3 linked regions of the Caenorhabditis elegans genome follow. The protein of the gene in region 3 interacts with the protein of the main gene of each other region in a pairwise test. Each region holds a gene or a part of one and is shown on either strand. Other genes may lie near its edges. The genes, in order: oaz-1, F09F7.5 and phat-1.

Region 1 (3,468 bases), 1.0 Mb from region 3:
TCTCGTCTCGAAACTCAAACAGAGAGTTTCACCAGGCTGATTTTTCTAAAACACAAAAAAATCGCTAACTTTTTTTTGTTTTGCGATATTTTATTTTACCATGCTGGTCTAGTGGTATTCCCAGACGCAAAAATTGTTTGTTATTAAATGTAAGAGTGTGCGCCTTTAAAGAGTACTGTATTATCAAACTCTCGTTTCTGCCTAATTTTCATTGATTATAGTTTTTCTCATGCTTCCAAGCTTTTTCTAAAAATAGTTTTTTTTTGTTGATAAATTGATAGTATAGCAAAACTATGGAAAAAATATGAAAATTCCGGAGCAACCTAAGCTTGCACGTACAGTACTCCTTAAAGGCGCACACTTTCAAATTTAAGAAAATTGATCATGTCGAGACCCGCTAGTGTATTTTTGCTTCGTACTTTTGTAAGATAGTCTCAAAATTTCGCATTTGCGTAATCGACCTAACGATACCCAATTCATGATGGGCGGAGCATTTTGAACATTTCTCTACAAAATCGTTTTTTTTTTGACAATTTATTCGTTTCTCCAAAAAAGCTGGCGCGTGGACAGAAAAGTGGTGGGAAAGGAGGGATTAATTTAAAGAATGTTTTAAAAAAAAGAGAATTTCTCAGGAAGCATCGGTCACTAATATCTCTTAGAAACAGGAATGAGCTGGTTGTGGATGGGAGTGGGTGTGGTGGGCAAAAATAATCAGAGAAATAGCCAAAAAGGATTTTTTCTGGAAAATTAAAGAATTTGTACACTACATGAACACAGAGATTTAGAGAATTATACTAGAGAATTCTTGAAGGAGGAAATTTTTTGAAAGTTTTTAAAGTGCATTTTTTCGAGGGGTTGGTATAGAAAAAGGTGAGAGAAAGAAAAATAACATTTTTAAAAGCGGCGAGAAATCGATAAAACGAAAAGAAATTGGTGAGATGAATCCATTAGACCTTGTAGCTCATGATGAAGTATTTTTCAGCTGGGAGATGAACTGGATGCTCGTCGATGGCATATGGACGGAATCCGACGTAACGAAGAGTACGTGGGAATCCTTCCGTTGGGTTAATACGAGCCTTCTCAAATACAGCCAAAACACGCTCCATTTCTGTAATAAAAAAGTTTACAAACATTTCTCAGGGAATATAACTTTTTAACAGGATTTCTCCGTTTAAAAACACAACTTTGTAGAAAATCTAGAAATGGTTGAAATAGAACTCACCGAGTTTGTCTTCAGCGAACTCCAAGAGGTCCACAAAGTTCTTCTTAGAGATGCCGAGCACCGGTTGATCGTGTGGAATCATGATCGCCAATGTCTTTTCGCCAATCGATGTCACGCGCCAGTTTGGAGAAACGGCCGATACGATAGCGCGAGTTTCGTTCGGCAATTTGGTGAGCACGCCATGGGGGGCGTCAAAAACACCATCCGACGTCGCCGGGCTGGGTCGAGCATGGGGAGGCGGTCAACGAGCTGAAAAATCGAAATATTATTGTTTAAACTGCCTTCACATTGTATTCTCACCTGTCGACGGCAGACTCGTTGACCAATTGATTCGATTTATTCGTAAAATTACTACTCAAAATACTCGACATCTTGTCTCTCTTGATAGGTACGAAGCGGGTGGTGGGAAACTGAAATTAAGAAGAATTAGATCGATTTAAAAGCAAAGTGAACGAGTGGGCGAGGGCGAGGAAGCATAACGGAAATACAAATTAATATAGTTGTGGTGATCAGAAATTATTCCAGAGAACTGATTCGTATCCCAGATGTTTAAAAATTGATTTTAACCAATCTCAACATTTACGGTGTCCTATAATCAAATATGCTAGAAATAAATTAGAATAATTCGATTAGTTTATGCCAAAGATTAAAGCATGTCAGAAGAGATTTTTGATTCGTTCAATTATTTGATTTACTTCGTGGCTTTTAAATAGAAATTAGAGGCTTTTGATTCTTAAAAGCGTAAAATGTTGTATTGATGTCAAAGAAGATCTATAGAACAGACATAGTAATGAACTGTCTTATATTTCTGTGTTATTAACCTCTAAAGTAAATTGTCACAAGACATACAGAACGAACATTGAGTGAACACAAAGAAGCATGTGACCAGGCGATAAATGAAGTGCGAGGCGGAGGAACAGAGGGACATAAAGATTGCGAGACGACAGAGAAACGCTCTTTCTGGCTCAATGGCTTGCTGGCGCCATTTTGAATGAATATATGTGACGTGCACATCGCAGATCTTTGAAAGTCATATGGTAATGACGAAATGGGTCGTTACAAAAGTGAAAGTAGGGATGATTATTTCTTATTGCACATTTCAAAATCAGATCCAAATAGAAATCGTAAACCCTGTGGGACTCGATTATCAGTTCTGCTCAATTGCCATGATACAAATAATTGGTATACTCACGCCATTAGGATACTTTTCCGAAAATACCTTTTTTCTAACGGAAATTTTTAATCAGAACTGGAGCTAACATAATATTACCAGACAAACAGCGCCTTGTGATATCGAAAGTAATTATTAATCAAAACATTTGCGCCTAAAAAAGGAGAGATCAATAGAATCAATGAGTGGATTTAGTAATGTAAAACTAGAAACTACTCTATATTAAAATCGATTTCGACAACAAAGAATAGAAAATCATATGACTTCACTACAGCTTATTGAGGCAAAATGAAGGTGAAACAGTGAAGATAGAGAAGAAGGAGAACAAGATCGATCGACGTGTAAACAGTGAATCGAATGATTTGGATGCCTTATCTATTGTGGACCGAGAATGTTCCCGGAAAGATAACAGTGTCATAAGACTTGCTCTTCGCCTATTTTATTGCGAAATAATTATTGATTTTCGATAGATGATTTGCAGACCTAATTTAGATTGTGATCAGATAAGAAAAACTTTTAAGTTTATGTGAGCATAGGAATATTAATGATTTGAGTAAGTTTTAAGAGAAACCAGAAACCAGAAATAAAAATTAAATTATTACGAAATCATTCAACAAATTACGACAGTATACCAACCAATTATCAAAGATTGAGTACGTAGTTCCTTTCTTTTCAAGTACTAATGATACAGAGAAAACCAGAAAAGGGAGTCGTTATCAAGGAGAACTATTGGCACGTTTCACTGCTTTTAAGCGCTGACGGAGAGAACAGAGAAGCAGCAATTTCTCTGAATCTCTCAACTTTATACAATCTATCTTTGCTTTTCATTGATTGACGGAAGGCGGCGGCGGTTGAGGCCAGAGACGCAGATTGTGTGACCGAGACGACGAAAAACATCTCAACAGCGTCAAGTTCGTGTTTTTGGTTTTCACAGCTGTTCGGAGGGCGAATTCCAAGGGGAAAAGAGCAAAGAATTGGGAATGGTCACGGATTTGAAATATTTATCTTGAAAGTTGTCTTAACGTGAAGAGAAGGGATATGTTACCAACTCCGAAATGTTCTTATCAATGTTTGA
Region 2 (6,696 bases), on a different chromosome or scaffold from region 3:
TTGGAGGCTCTTGCTCATTTTCATGCGAAAATTATTGAGATAAGTGATGAGATTCCATGGAAGAATTATGAAAATGTGCTTTATGATGCGGCCTATATCAGGATGTTGGTGAGTTTTGAGCGGTAGGGAGGCAGGCACGAGATATTCAAATAGGCCTGAAAATGTGCCTGTCTGCCAGTGAAGCCCTAGGTATAGTAAGAAATAAAAAAAAAAGAGTATATTGCAATCGATTGCAATCTGGGCACATCTTTTCAAATTTCGAATTTAAAATTGGGCACATCTCTTTGATGGCCGCGAAAATTGGTGGCCGAATATTTTTGGAACTTATTGGAAATTGACTTTTCACAACAACCCGTAAATATGGTGTATGGTGTTTTGCTTACCTGAAAACCAGAGCGGCTCTTTCTCACGCTTCAGAATCAAAATTCCAGCACAACGACACCCTTGATTTTGAAAAGTTATGCCCGGCGGAGCTCTCCGGAAGAATTCAAGAAGTTAAGCATGCTTTTGATGAAGATGGAGTTAGAAATTCCGAAAAGAAAAACGAAAAACTTGGAATGCCATTGGTGATATGTCATAATGATTTGAACGCGTCAAATGTTCTATGGAATAATGAAACTGGAAAGGTAGAGTTGTCCAAGAGGACTACGTGTCATAGAATATAAAATTACTCCTAATAATAAAATTGAATAATTTCAGATCCAGGCATTTATCGATTTCCAGCACGTGTCAAAGGGTCCCGTCTCCTTTGATATTATTCGTATTTTGTGCCTTGGATTGTCAGTGGAAAATCGAAGAGCAAATACTCAAAGGTATCTTTTTCTAAGTCTAAACATTTTCAATAACCGAAAGAAGTAAAAATTGAAATGGCCCGCTTTTTGGCCGAGATTTGAAAATCGGGTTCGGAGATATAAAACACATTTCAAAACAAAGAGTCAGTTTCCATTTTCCAGATACCTGAACCACTACTATACGACCTTCAAATCTCATTTTTCCACGGCTCCCTTCACTTTCTCCCAACTCGAAGAATCCTATCGAACTCACTTCAATTTTGTGAATGCCACGTCACTATTCAGTCTGTCGTATTACTACAAAATGTATAAGGATGAGAGTTTGGATTTGAAAAGTGGAGCTGACGAAAGGGAACACAAAGCTCAGGAGATTTTGAGACGGACTATCGGAATTTTGGATGATATGTAATAGAAGAATATTTTTTAAAGATTTTTATATTATACATTAAAACAAATAAACTACTACTAATATTTGGAATTTTTTAAATTTTGATGATGAACAAAGTTGCTTAAAACATTATTTCAAATATGACAACACATTTTAAATTCTTTACGAAACAAAAATAATCCTAGTAAATCTTCGGTAATACATTAAAAACATCAAAGGTTTCGTAAATCAATGTTAAACAAATTGCGAAATATCGTCCGACTTGCAGTCAAACACTAGAGTATACATATACATAATACCCTTCCGTAACCCGGTTTTTAGCCTCAAGAGATTACTCATCAGATCGACACATGTTTTCTTTTTTCACTTCAACATGCTGCGTCTCTTGTCAATTTGATCTGAGTAATCTATGGGAGATCAGCAAGAACAATTTGCTATTTGCTAGAAATTGATAACACTTTTTGAAATATTTGAAAGGTAGTTTCTATGCTAGATTTTTCTATGTTAATCTGAATTTTAACATTTTTCAATTGATTTTATGCAGTACCTGAAAGTGGTCAAAATTTTGGAGCCATCGAACGACGCTTCAATATTCCGCCATGCTACAAAACTCAAGATTCCTTACAAGCGTCTTTGGGCGGAGCTTGAGCACGGGTGTCATTGGAGCTTCAAACTTCTTGGCTTCCAATTCCAAATGAATCATTCTTTCAACACATCACCTCCTTCTCAATAATTCCTTATCACTACTCTTTTTCCAACTGCTTACACGTTTTTATCGGTTATTTCTCTATTCCCCTTTCTCTCTCAGTTACTCCGGGTGTCTGTTCTCCACAGTTTTTGCAACAACTTGCGTGGTTTGACCATTGATTTTTTTTGCCTCTTGTTACTTTATTCTTGATTTAAGACAGGAACCGGGTTTATGGAAAATGCCCAACGACTTGCCGTTGCTGCCTCCGAAGAATCAGCACAAACACTTGGATAAAACTATGATCTCACTGCCGTCGGATTTCAGGTAAGGAATAAAAGTTGAGGATGTTATGTTAATCCGTACATTCGAATTGGAATGTATCTGCAAATTCGTTCTTGAAGAACATTAGTAGGTTAGCTTCAAGCGGGATTATGACATGTCGACGTTTTAGGCCCGAGAAAGAAGCGGAGTTCTTGCACTCTCCCCTCCCCCACACTCTCTAACCAACCCATTTTTACAGTGTAATAACTTTCATCAAGATTTAGCCAATAGCTGATTGATTGTGCTGATTGTGCTTTTTTTAATTGATATAACATTTAGAAATGAGGAACATTTAGAAACATGAACAGTTTATTCAAAAATATTAGGCTTACAACACTCTACACTTATCTCATTACAACATTCTTTTATTATCATATTGACATCCATAGACTGAAATTCCAAGTTTTAGAAATCAGAAACCTTGGAAACAAAACTTACCATTTTGCTAGGTAATTTAGCTGACACAGCTGGAACCGCCAACAATTCAGTCATGAAAATAATCAGTGATAGAAACAATAATGCAAAACTAGCATACATGTCAACTATGAATATTAAGTTTAAAATTGTTATGTAGTACCTAATCACACGTGGACTAGCAACAATTGATAAAACATTGTTATATATTATAGGTACCAAGCGTTAAATCTTACACTATGGGCTATTGTCGTAAAAAATAAAATAAAATAATACAAATCACGTTACCTGAAATTTTTTAAATTCTCAATTTTTTCGCAATTCGCCATTTTAATTGTTTAAAAAGATATGAGAGGAGGAGAGTTAAGACACTCAGCTTCTCTGTACTCTCCCGTGCCTCCATACGTCTAAAACTTACAATTTTCATACGAATTAGTTTCTTACAATTAGTAGATTCGGAGACGAATTAGTTACATTCGTATTAGTTTTACTCATTGTGTTTTAGGTTTTAAACAATCTATCATAGTCAATTTTTATATTACAGGCATTTGGCTCATGTCGGTCCAATGGGATCATCGGAAATTGAAAATCTTCGGACGAGCGATAATGTGATTGATACGGTTAATGAAAGGTTTGTGATCTACAAGCATTACTTGAATTCAATGTGGATGAATAAAGAATTCAGCAGCTACTACATAAGACCCTCCTCGTCGAATAGTACACTCCGATCGCAGAGAAAAGAAAAAGATGTAGGGAACTATTTAATTACTTTTCTCCAAAAAAGTTCAACTTTTCAGAGAGTTGGACTAGATGATGCTTTCCCATCAGCTTCAAAAAGTGAAGAAGAGGTTGAAGTTGTCAGAGGTTACGAGAATCAACCAACATCCCACCAATACATAAATATTGCTCCACCACGTCCGAGCAAGAAAAATTATAAGGCTCCAGCTCCCCCTACTCCTCCTCCACAGTGAGTATTTGTATGACATTTTCTAACAACACAGTTTTTGAATTAGTTTTTTACCTCAATTCCAAGAAGTACTTCCTTTAGAATTAAGTTTCTTACTGGCGCTTTCAAATTTGACAACTGAATCAAAAGTTGGTTGAGAATTAAACTTTCAGGAACAGCAAGCCGAATTTGATCTTCAACGCCCAAGACGACGAGGAGGAAACATCAGAAATCTCAGAGCAACCTGTAGTTTTTCGGTATTTCTTGATTGGACCCTGAAGTTTAAAAATTTTTCAATTTTCAGGTCAATCTCCCACACTTCGAATATCTCAACACACATAGCTCCACCTCCAAAAATCCAAACCGCCGACCGAATCGTTGCACCGAAGCCTAACTCTCTGGTGATCGAAAGACCGGGTGATCTTGGTGGTGCTTTTAGTTTCGGTCTCGATGATTGCATTCCAATTGTTAAAAGTACACCACCTCTCAATACACTTTCTCCGTTGCATCGGCCTTTGGCAATCCCGAAGAATCAGGAGGAGACACCGATATTGAGTCCGGCGAGTCCGCCGGATGACTCGAATTATATGTCAACTATTCGGAGCACATCCGTTCAAGGGAGAAAGATCTTGGATGAGCTTGACGATTGGTTGGATGACCTGGATGATCTCGATAGGGATCAATTATCCACAATCAGTACTGACGAATCGGGTTATCCGACGCTTGCACTAGAAAAAGATCGGGCTTTTATGAAGCATTTGGTGGAGAAGTATGAGTTGGGGGTAGCTCCAGAGACAATTAGACTTCGGAAGAAAAAAGGACCGGCTCCAAAAGCTCCAAGCCTCCCTCCAGACCTCTCCTCTCCAACATTCCAAGCTCCAGGATTTATTCCTGCGTTCTCCGCTCGGCCTGTGAGTATGCCTCCCAACCGACCACCTCCCTCATATGAAGCTCCAAGCTTTGATGCTCCCGAAGCTCCTGGTACAGTATTAATCAATGGAAGAGCCTTGACAAAGCAAAATGCGCTAGACCTCCGCTCAAGTGACGAAAGTGGAGTACCTCCTGCAATTGCCAGGTTCTTATATGATAAGAGGATCAAGTCAGCAACAATGCCAATGTCCATCGGAAGAATGACGTCTTCATCTGGGAACACGGATGTTTCCACTACCTCGTCAAGATCAAATGCAGATACTGTGTCAAGTATTCTGTCGACGGTTGGGGAGGATGATGATGTGGAAGTTCTGAAAAGGGATCGGGAAGTTGAAGAAGAGTTTGTACCGCCCGTGCCAAAGCCGAGGAGCAGAAAGACGGTAAGCTTTCTTGTGTGATCCACAAGATCAGTTATGTAGGTGCAACATTAAGAGAGGAATTACGGAATTAAAGTATTACTTTCAACTTTTGAATCATATTTCTGACCATTTGATGAGTCACCATAAAATAGATATTTGTGAATCTGAATGAGAGGGGGGGGGGGCAAAAGTTTCAAGAACGGGTGCTCCTGAACCTAAACGATATTTGCTCCAATTACTTGGATCTAGTCGTACTCACGATTTTCACAGTTATTCTCACATTTTCGAAAGCAAATCAGTTCCGCTACCCTTTGACCTGATTCTATAATTTATTCTCTCCCCTCTAGAACAAATATAAATCTATTTAAATGAAACCGATACAAACATCAAAAAGTCAACAATCACCAATGTTCTTCTTCATTTGTTTTTCTTCGCAGGTCTCAACGGAACCGTTAAAAGAAGAAGAAGAAGAAAATGTCGAAGAGGAGATAAAGGGCGAAAACGTGATTGGGGAGGAGTTTCAAGTGGTGGGAGATACAAAAATAAATGATGAACAAGAAGATCGGGTGGAAGCGACAAAAGACAAGGTAACTAGTAGTGATAAAAGATCAATCGCCAAGATAAGCTTATTGGAATTTGAAATAGTTTGCTAATTACCCCTAGTTTCCAATTTTTCCGAGAAAGTACTTTTGTTGATTGGAACTGCCATTCATAGGATCACAAGGTGATCGAAAACAAAAAGAAGCAGCTGACTACTTGCGAATTTCCAGTAGAAATAGATTTAGAGAAGCAAGAAATTCGAGAAATTCTTTAGACAAAATTTTTCTTTGGAATGGTGGGTCATGGGTCCGCACGTACCCAAGTTTCTCTCTGAGACTGAGCAAAATGTATAAGTGGGCTCTCAATACAATTTTCTGTCATAGGTACGTGCAGACATTTTTAAGCAAACGATCGATCAAACCAAGTAATGAGCAAAAATAGTGCTAATAGGTTAAGATTTCCTACGAGGCAGGTTGCATACCCTAGCAGATATTTCTAAATAGATTTTGTACCAAATATCATTAACTGGGGAGCCTTCAGTAGTTGTCCTATTTCCTGGCACTTGTTAATTTTCAAAAAATTATTCAAATTCCCACTATTTTCAGATTAATGACGCTTTCATCATGCTTCCACCACCTTCAGCAGCCGCAATGATCCCATCAGATTCAGAATCCGAAGACGACGATAATTTCATTATTACTCGATTTTAAATTATTTGTTTTACTTAAATTCTTAACTAAACTCTAGTCAATTGTCTCTCTACATTCCAGTGCCAAACCACCATTCCATTAAAAATAAATTTCTCAAATAAAACCGATTCGATTTGCGAAAAAAGCAATATATTTTATTTTCATTTCTTCACAGCACAAAAAATAACAATTTGGAAGGTATGTACAGAATCCGTTTCGATCAAACGCGTCAATGGGAGGTTTCAAGCAACTTTTTCAGATGCTCCTCGGCGGCTTCCAGATCATCACGGAGATAACGGAGTTTTGCAGGGGTCACAAATTCCTCGTTGTATACGTTTTTCTGGAAAAGTAAAAGGGTTTAAAGGGTGGAATGGGATAATCTTTTGTGGCCTACACTATCTTTTTTAAGTTGTTAACTGATCTACAATCTCGAAAATTCCCCGTAAAACTGCAATTTTTGAGTAATATGTTCAGTTACAGCCTTTTGGAAACTCAAAATCCTAGTGCTTTGTCATTTGAATTTTGCATTTTGTCCAGCGTACAGAATAGTTTTTGCTAAGTAGTCGAGAAATTTTATAATTTGACGTTTCAGAGAAATTGAAAACTATTTTTTTCCGAAAACGGGCTTAA
Region 3 (4,063 bases):
CAGACTAACTTAAGTGAGTGTAACACAGGATTGAGTCAGTCAGCGATAATTTTTTTCAAAACATCATCAGAGTTTCTTTTTAATTAGAACGCTTTTCGTTTTCATAGTTTTTTTTTTAATTTCCTGTATTTTCCGAACATCAATAATTTTTACAGGCGCTGATAAAGTAATTAATTTGTGGGAGCAAAATAGACGTATAGGTACTCCAATGGGTGCTTCATTTCATTTTTAATAAGTTTTTAAATTTTTAAATTATAAATTTAATTTTTTTTAAAGTTCTAGTATGTAAGTCAGACTTTTGTATAAAAAAACAATCATTATAAGGTGAAACTCAACGAAAAATTATTGACGCCAGATTCATTTAAAGTTGTCCAAAAAAGTTTTAATTATTAATTCAATGAAACAAAATAAAAATTGGATATGTTTTCAGAATGTTTGAAAATGAAAAAATAAATATTTTATTACATTTAAAACATTGAGATGTTTTGTTTTGAAATCGAACTTTCTCAAAATCTAAATTATTTAAATTATTTTATTTACTTTAGAATCATAAATCACAAAAACCAGACGGTGCATAAATTAGAGATAAATTATTTCCACAAACACAAAAATTATCCAGCAGTACAGAATCCGCAGGTAAGTGGACATTGGGTACGCATAAGGGAAATGTAAGCGGAGTTGGTACAAAAAGCACGACGATTTGGACAATCGGAAGTTCCTGTAGCGGCGTTGACTTGGTCGACACAAGTGGCTGAAGAGGTTTAAGTATCTTAGTTGTCGTATCACAAACAGTAGAATCAATCAGCTATAATTCTTCAGAAATAAAACTTACATGAAACAGTAGTAGAAGCTGATGACGTGGCAGAGATAGTTGAGCTTGATGTGCATCTTCCACAAGTTCTTGGGCATTGGGTGGTCATGATGTCATAGTAGACTGAGTTGTTGCAAAGAGAAGCACGAGCTGGGCAATCGGAAACTCCAGTTGTTGGATTGACACGATCAGCACAGGTGGCTGAAATTTCCTCAGTTAGTGCAAACGAAAATATAAGAAAAGCTAAGGCAAACAAAGCAAGCATATTAGACAGAAGCAGGTAAAAAAAGCTACAGCTGATCAGCGAAGCAAGAGGCAACTGCCACCTACTGGAATAGCTAGAAGTACTATTTGTGGAGCATCTTCCACAAGTTACCGGACACTGGACTGTCATAAGATTGTAATAAGCTGCGTTATTACAAAGTGCGGCACGAGCCGGACAATCAGATCTCCCGGTGGATGGGTTAGAACGATCGGCACATGTGGTGCCTGGAAATTTAAATTGTTGTCCTCTGTTTCAAGAAATCTAACTCTAATTAAAGAATCACGTTCCAGTTTTCAGCGAACTTACTGGACGATGAAGTAGTCGAAGAAGAAGTGGAGCATCTTCCGCAAGTTCTTGGGCATTGAGTGGTCATGAGTGTGTAGTAGTTGGAGTCGTTGCACAAAGCAGCACGAGCTGGACAATCGGAAACTCCGGTGGATGGATTAACACGATCAACACAGCTAGTAGAGCTTGTTGAAGTAGAATTACAGCGACCGCATGTTCTTGGGCACTGCTGGGTCATGACTGTGTAGTAGGTCGAGTCGTTGCAAAGGTAGGCAAGAGCTGAACAATCAGAGACTCCGGTAGATGGATTGACACGATCAGCACACGTTGTCGTGGAGGTAGAAGTTACTGTAACTGATGATGCAGTTGTGGTTACTGTAGATCCATCGGAATCGGTCACAACAGCAGCAGTGGTTGAAGTAACAGCGGCAGCAGCTAGAATTTCAAAGGTCGCTGTTGAAAGAATCTGTTTCACTTACTGGTAATAGGACAGCATTGACCAGCTGCCACGTCACAGACCTGTGTCTGGCACACAAGAATGCCACCGTCACACGCTGAAATAAAGTATTTATTCTAAATGCGATTACAGTTGTTACTTACGTCCTTCAGATTCAGAAGCTTCACAAGCAAATGCAACCGAGAATATGGCAAATGAAATAATGAATTGACGGAACATGATAGAATGATGGTTATAGTTCTGCAGCAGTTGCTTTTATATTGTGAGATACTGTCCATCTGTTCAAACAATTAACGTTGACCATTGTGCTATAAGTCTTTGAAATTGAAATAATGTGATCAAGAAGTTTAGATACCGTTCGTGATGGAAGTTTATGACGAAATAGCTAAAAAGTATCGCTTGTGGCAAATGTTTCAACAAAAGAGTGCTGAAATTATTAAATTTAAATTACATATATTTTGACGTAGAATGTGTATCTCGGGTCTGCAGTGATCGATTTTTTGCTGAAAATGCCGTCAAAATAATTATGCAAATAACGGCTATTATGACAGTTTTACAAGCTTGCAAAAACCCCAGAATACAACTTTAGATTGTAGGAGTTGAGCTTAACTTTTTGAGATAATCTAGTAGAAAAATTGGATTTTCAAAAAGAGTCTGTAAGTAACGTTTCTTTGTAAGTTTTTCAAGTAAAAGTTTTTTAAAGTTTTATTTCTTGTCTATCTGTTTTTATCGCAATATTCCATATTTTACAGTGGCTATCCACGAGCTAAAGGCTGTTCAAACATTTCAGCTCTGTTTCAAAAATAACAAAATTTTCGCAGAACAATGCGCGCATTGTTTTTATATTGGTACAACCAACCGGCGTTTCGGATACTATTTGAACACATTTCTTCCCGACTCGCAGCGTTTTATTATAAATTAAAATGAATTGGACACATTATTACACAATTATTACTAATCGTGATGGCGAAACAAATTATCCGGATGTACAGAATCCGCAGGTTCTTGGACATTGAGCACGCATGACGGATTGGTAGGCTGAGTTGTTGCAAAGACCAATGTTGGATGCACAATCAGATCTTCCGGTGGCTGGGTTGACTCTGTCGACACATGCTGGAAGATTTTCAAGATTGGTTTTAGAAAGTAACGAATGCTTGTGTTATTGTTGAAAATCTATGGCCGTACATTTTTTAGATAATACAGTAGATTGTTTTACCTTAGAATCGGATGTTTCAGATTTTTTTGGACAGTTGTTTTCTCTTTTTTTAAATAAACAAGTAGTTAGTTTCGTCTAAAGTTGGGGAAAGGTTGGCTGGTAGTTTTGAGTCATTAAAAACTCGGACTTTTTATTTGTGATATTTGGCCATGTTGCAATTAATATGAAAATATTTGTACAACTAAATTTTGCTTAAATTTAATACTAAATCAAGCTCCAACCGTTAAAATCAGTTTTAACACTTTTATAATTTTTCCCACTTACTTCCGGAAGAAACAGTTGCGCTGGATCTAGTGGTAGAAGATGAACCGGAACTTCCACAGAATCCACAAGTTCTTGGGCATTGAGTTCTCATCAGATCAATGTAGTTGGAATCATTACAGAAAGAACGCAGGCTTGCGCAGTCCGAAGTTCCCGTCTTTGGGTTCTTCAAGTCAGTGCATGTACCAGTTGTAGGTGTGCTAGAGAATGATGAGCATCTTCCGCAAGTCTTTGGACATTGTTGAGTCATGACGTCAAAGTAGTTGGCATCGTTGCAGAGAGCTCTTCTATTAGCACAATCAGAAGTTCCTGTAGCTGAATTGACACGATCAACGCATCCTGTTCCAGATGAAGTGCGGGAAGTGACAGTGGATCCACTACGGATAGTCGTGGCAACAGTCACAGTGGATCCCGAAGCGTCGGTGACAACGTTAGATGGAACCACAGTGGTGACTGAAAAGGGAAATTTAAAATTTACTGATTCCAGAGACTTACTGAGATCCGCATTGAGACAGCAACTTAAAAGAGTAAGATCACAAGTAGATCCAGTTTCACAAGGCAAACCAACATCGCATGCTGAAAAAATGTTTGGATTAAAGAATCGAATTTGAGCGCGAAAAAAGTGTTACTCGACCAATGACATTAAGGCGTGGTCAACGTCATTGATTGGTCAAAAGTTTCAAAAATCTAAAAATCTAAAATTGCGCCCTTCTGCTGGCTTTAATTTGAGAGTAAATTTCCCAGAAAAACTTTTGGAAGTGTTCAAAT

The links.
Region 1: the proteins of phat-1 (region 3) and oaz-1 interact in a two-hybrid assay, tested with the Caenorhabditis elegans proteins (one large-scale study listed by BioGRID).
Region 2: the proteins of phat-1 (region 3) and F09F7.5 interact in a two-hybrid assay, tested with the Caenorhabditis elegans proteins (one large-scale study listed by BioGRID).

Annotation. Positions count from the first base shown.
Region 1 is NC_003279.8:6,091,471-6,094,938, reverse strand, and holds oaz-1 (Ornithine decarboxylase antizyme), read right to left. Parts: upstream 1,633-3,468; 5' UTR 1,594-1,632; coding exon 1,523-1,593; intron 1,472-1,522; coding exon 1,414-1,471; coding exon of another isoform or gene 1,223-1,413; intron 1,109-1,222; coding exon of another isoform or gene 948-1,108; 3' UTR 502-947; downstream 1-501. UniProt on the Caenorhabditis elegans protein: Ornithine decarboxylase (ODC) antizyme protein that negatively regulates ODC activity and intracellular polyamine biosynthesis and uptake in response to increased intracellular polyamine levels.
Region 2 is NC_003281.10:5,545,027-5,551,722, forward strand, and holds F09F7.5 (CRIB domain-containing protein), read left to right. Parts: upstream 1-2,083; 5' UTR 2,084-2,105; coding exon 2,106-2,191; intron 2,192-3,146; coding exon 3,147-3,233; intron 3,234-3,287; coding exon 3,288-3,351; intron 3,352-3,399; coding exon 3,400-3,569; intron 3,570-3,721; coding exon 3,722-3,805; intron 3,806-3,852; coding exon 3,853-4,858; intron 4,859-5,274; coding exon 5,275-5,424; intron 5,425-5,982; coding exon 5,983-6,087; 3' UTR 6,088-6,189; downstream 6,190-6,696. Other genes in the region: putative kinase-like protein D1044.1, read left to right, coding at 1-108, 432-626, 700-812, 954-1,200; F09F7.6 (Ferritin), read right to left, coding at 6,296-6,406.
Region 3 is NC_003279.8:5,043,684-5,047,746, forward strand, and holds phat-1 (ShKT domain-containing protein), read right to left. Parts: upstream 2,038-4,063; coding exon 1,962-2,037; intron 1,916-1,961; coding exon 1,841-1,915; intron 1,797-1,840; coding exon 1,383-1,796; intron 1,201-1,382; exon of another isoform or gene 1,057-1,200; intron 1,013-1,056; coding exon 833-1,012; intron 752-832; coding exon 612-751; 3' UTR 515-611; downstream 1-514. Other genes in the region: phat-2 (ShKT domain-containing protein), read right to left, coding at 2,795-2,931, 3,299-3,748, 3,791-3,871.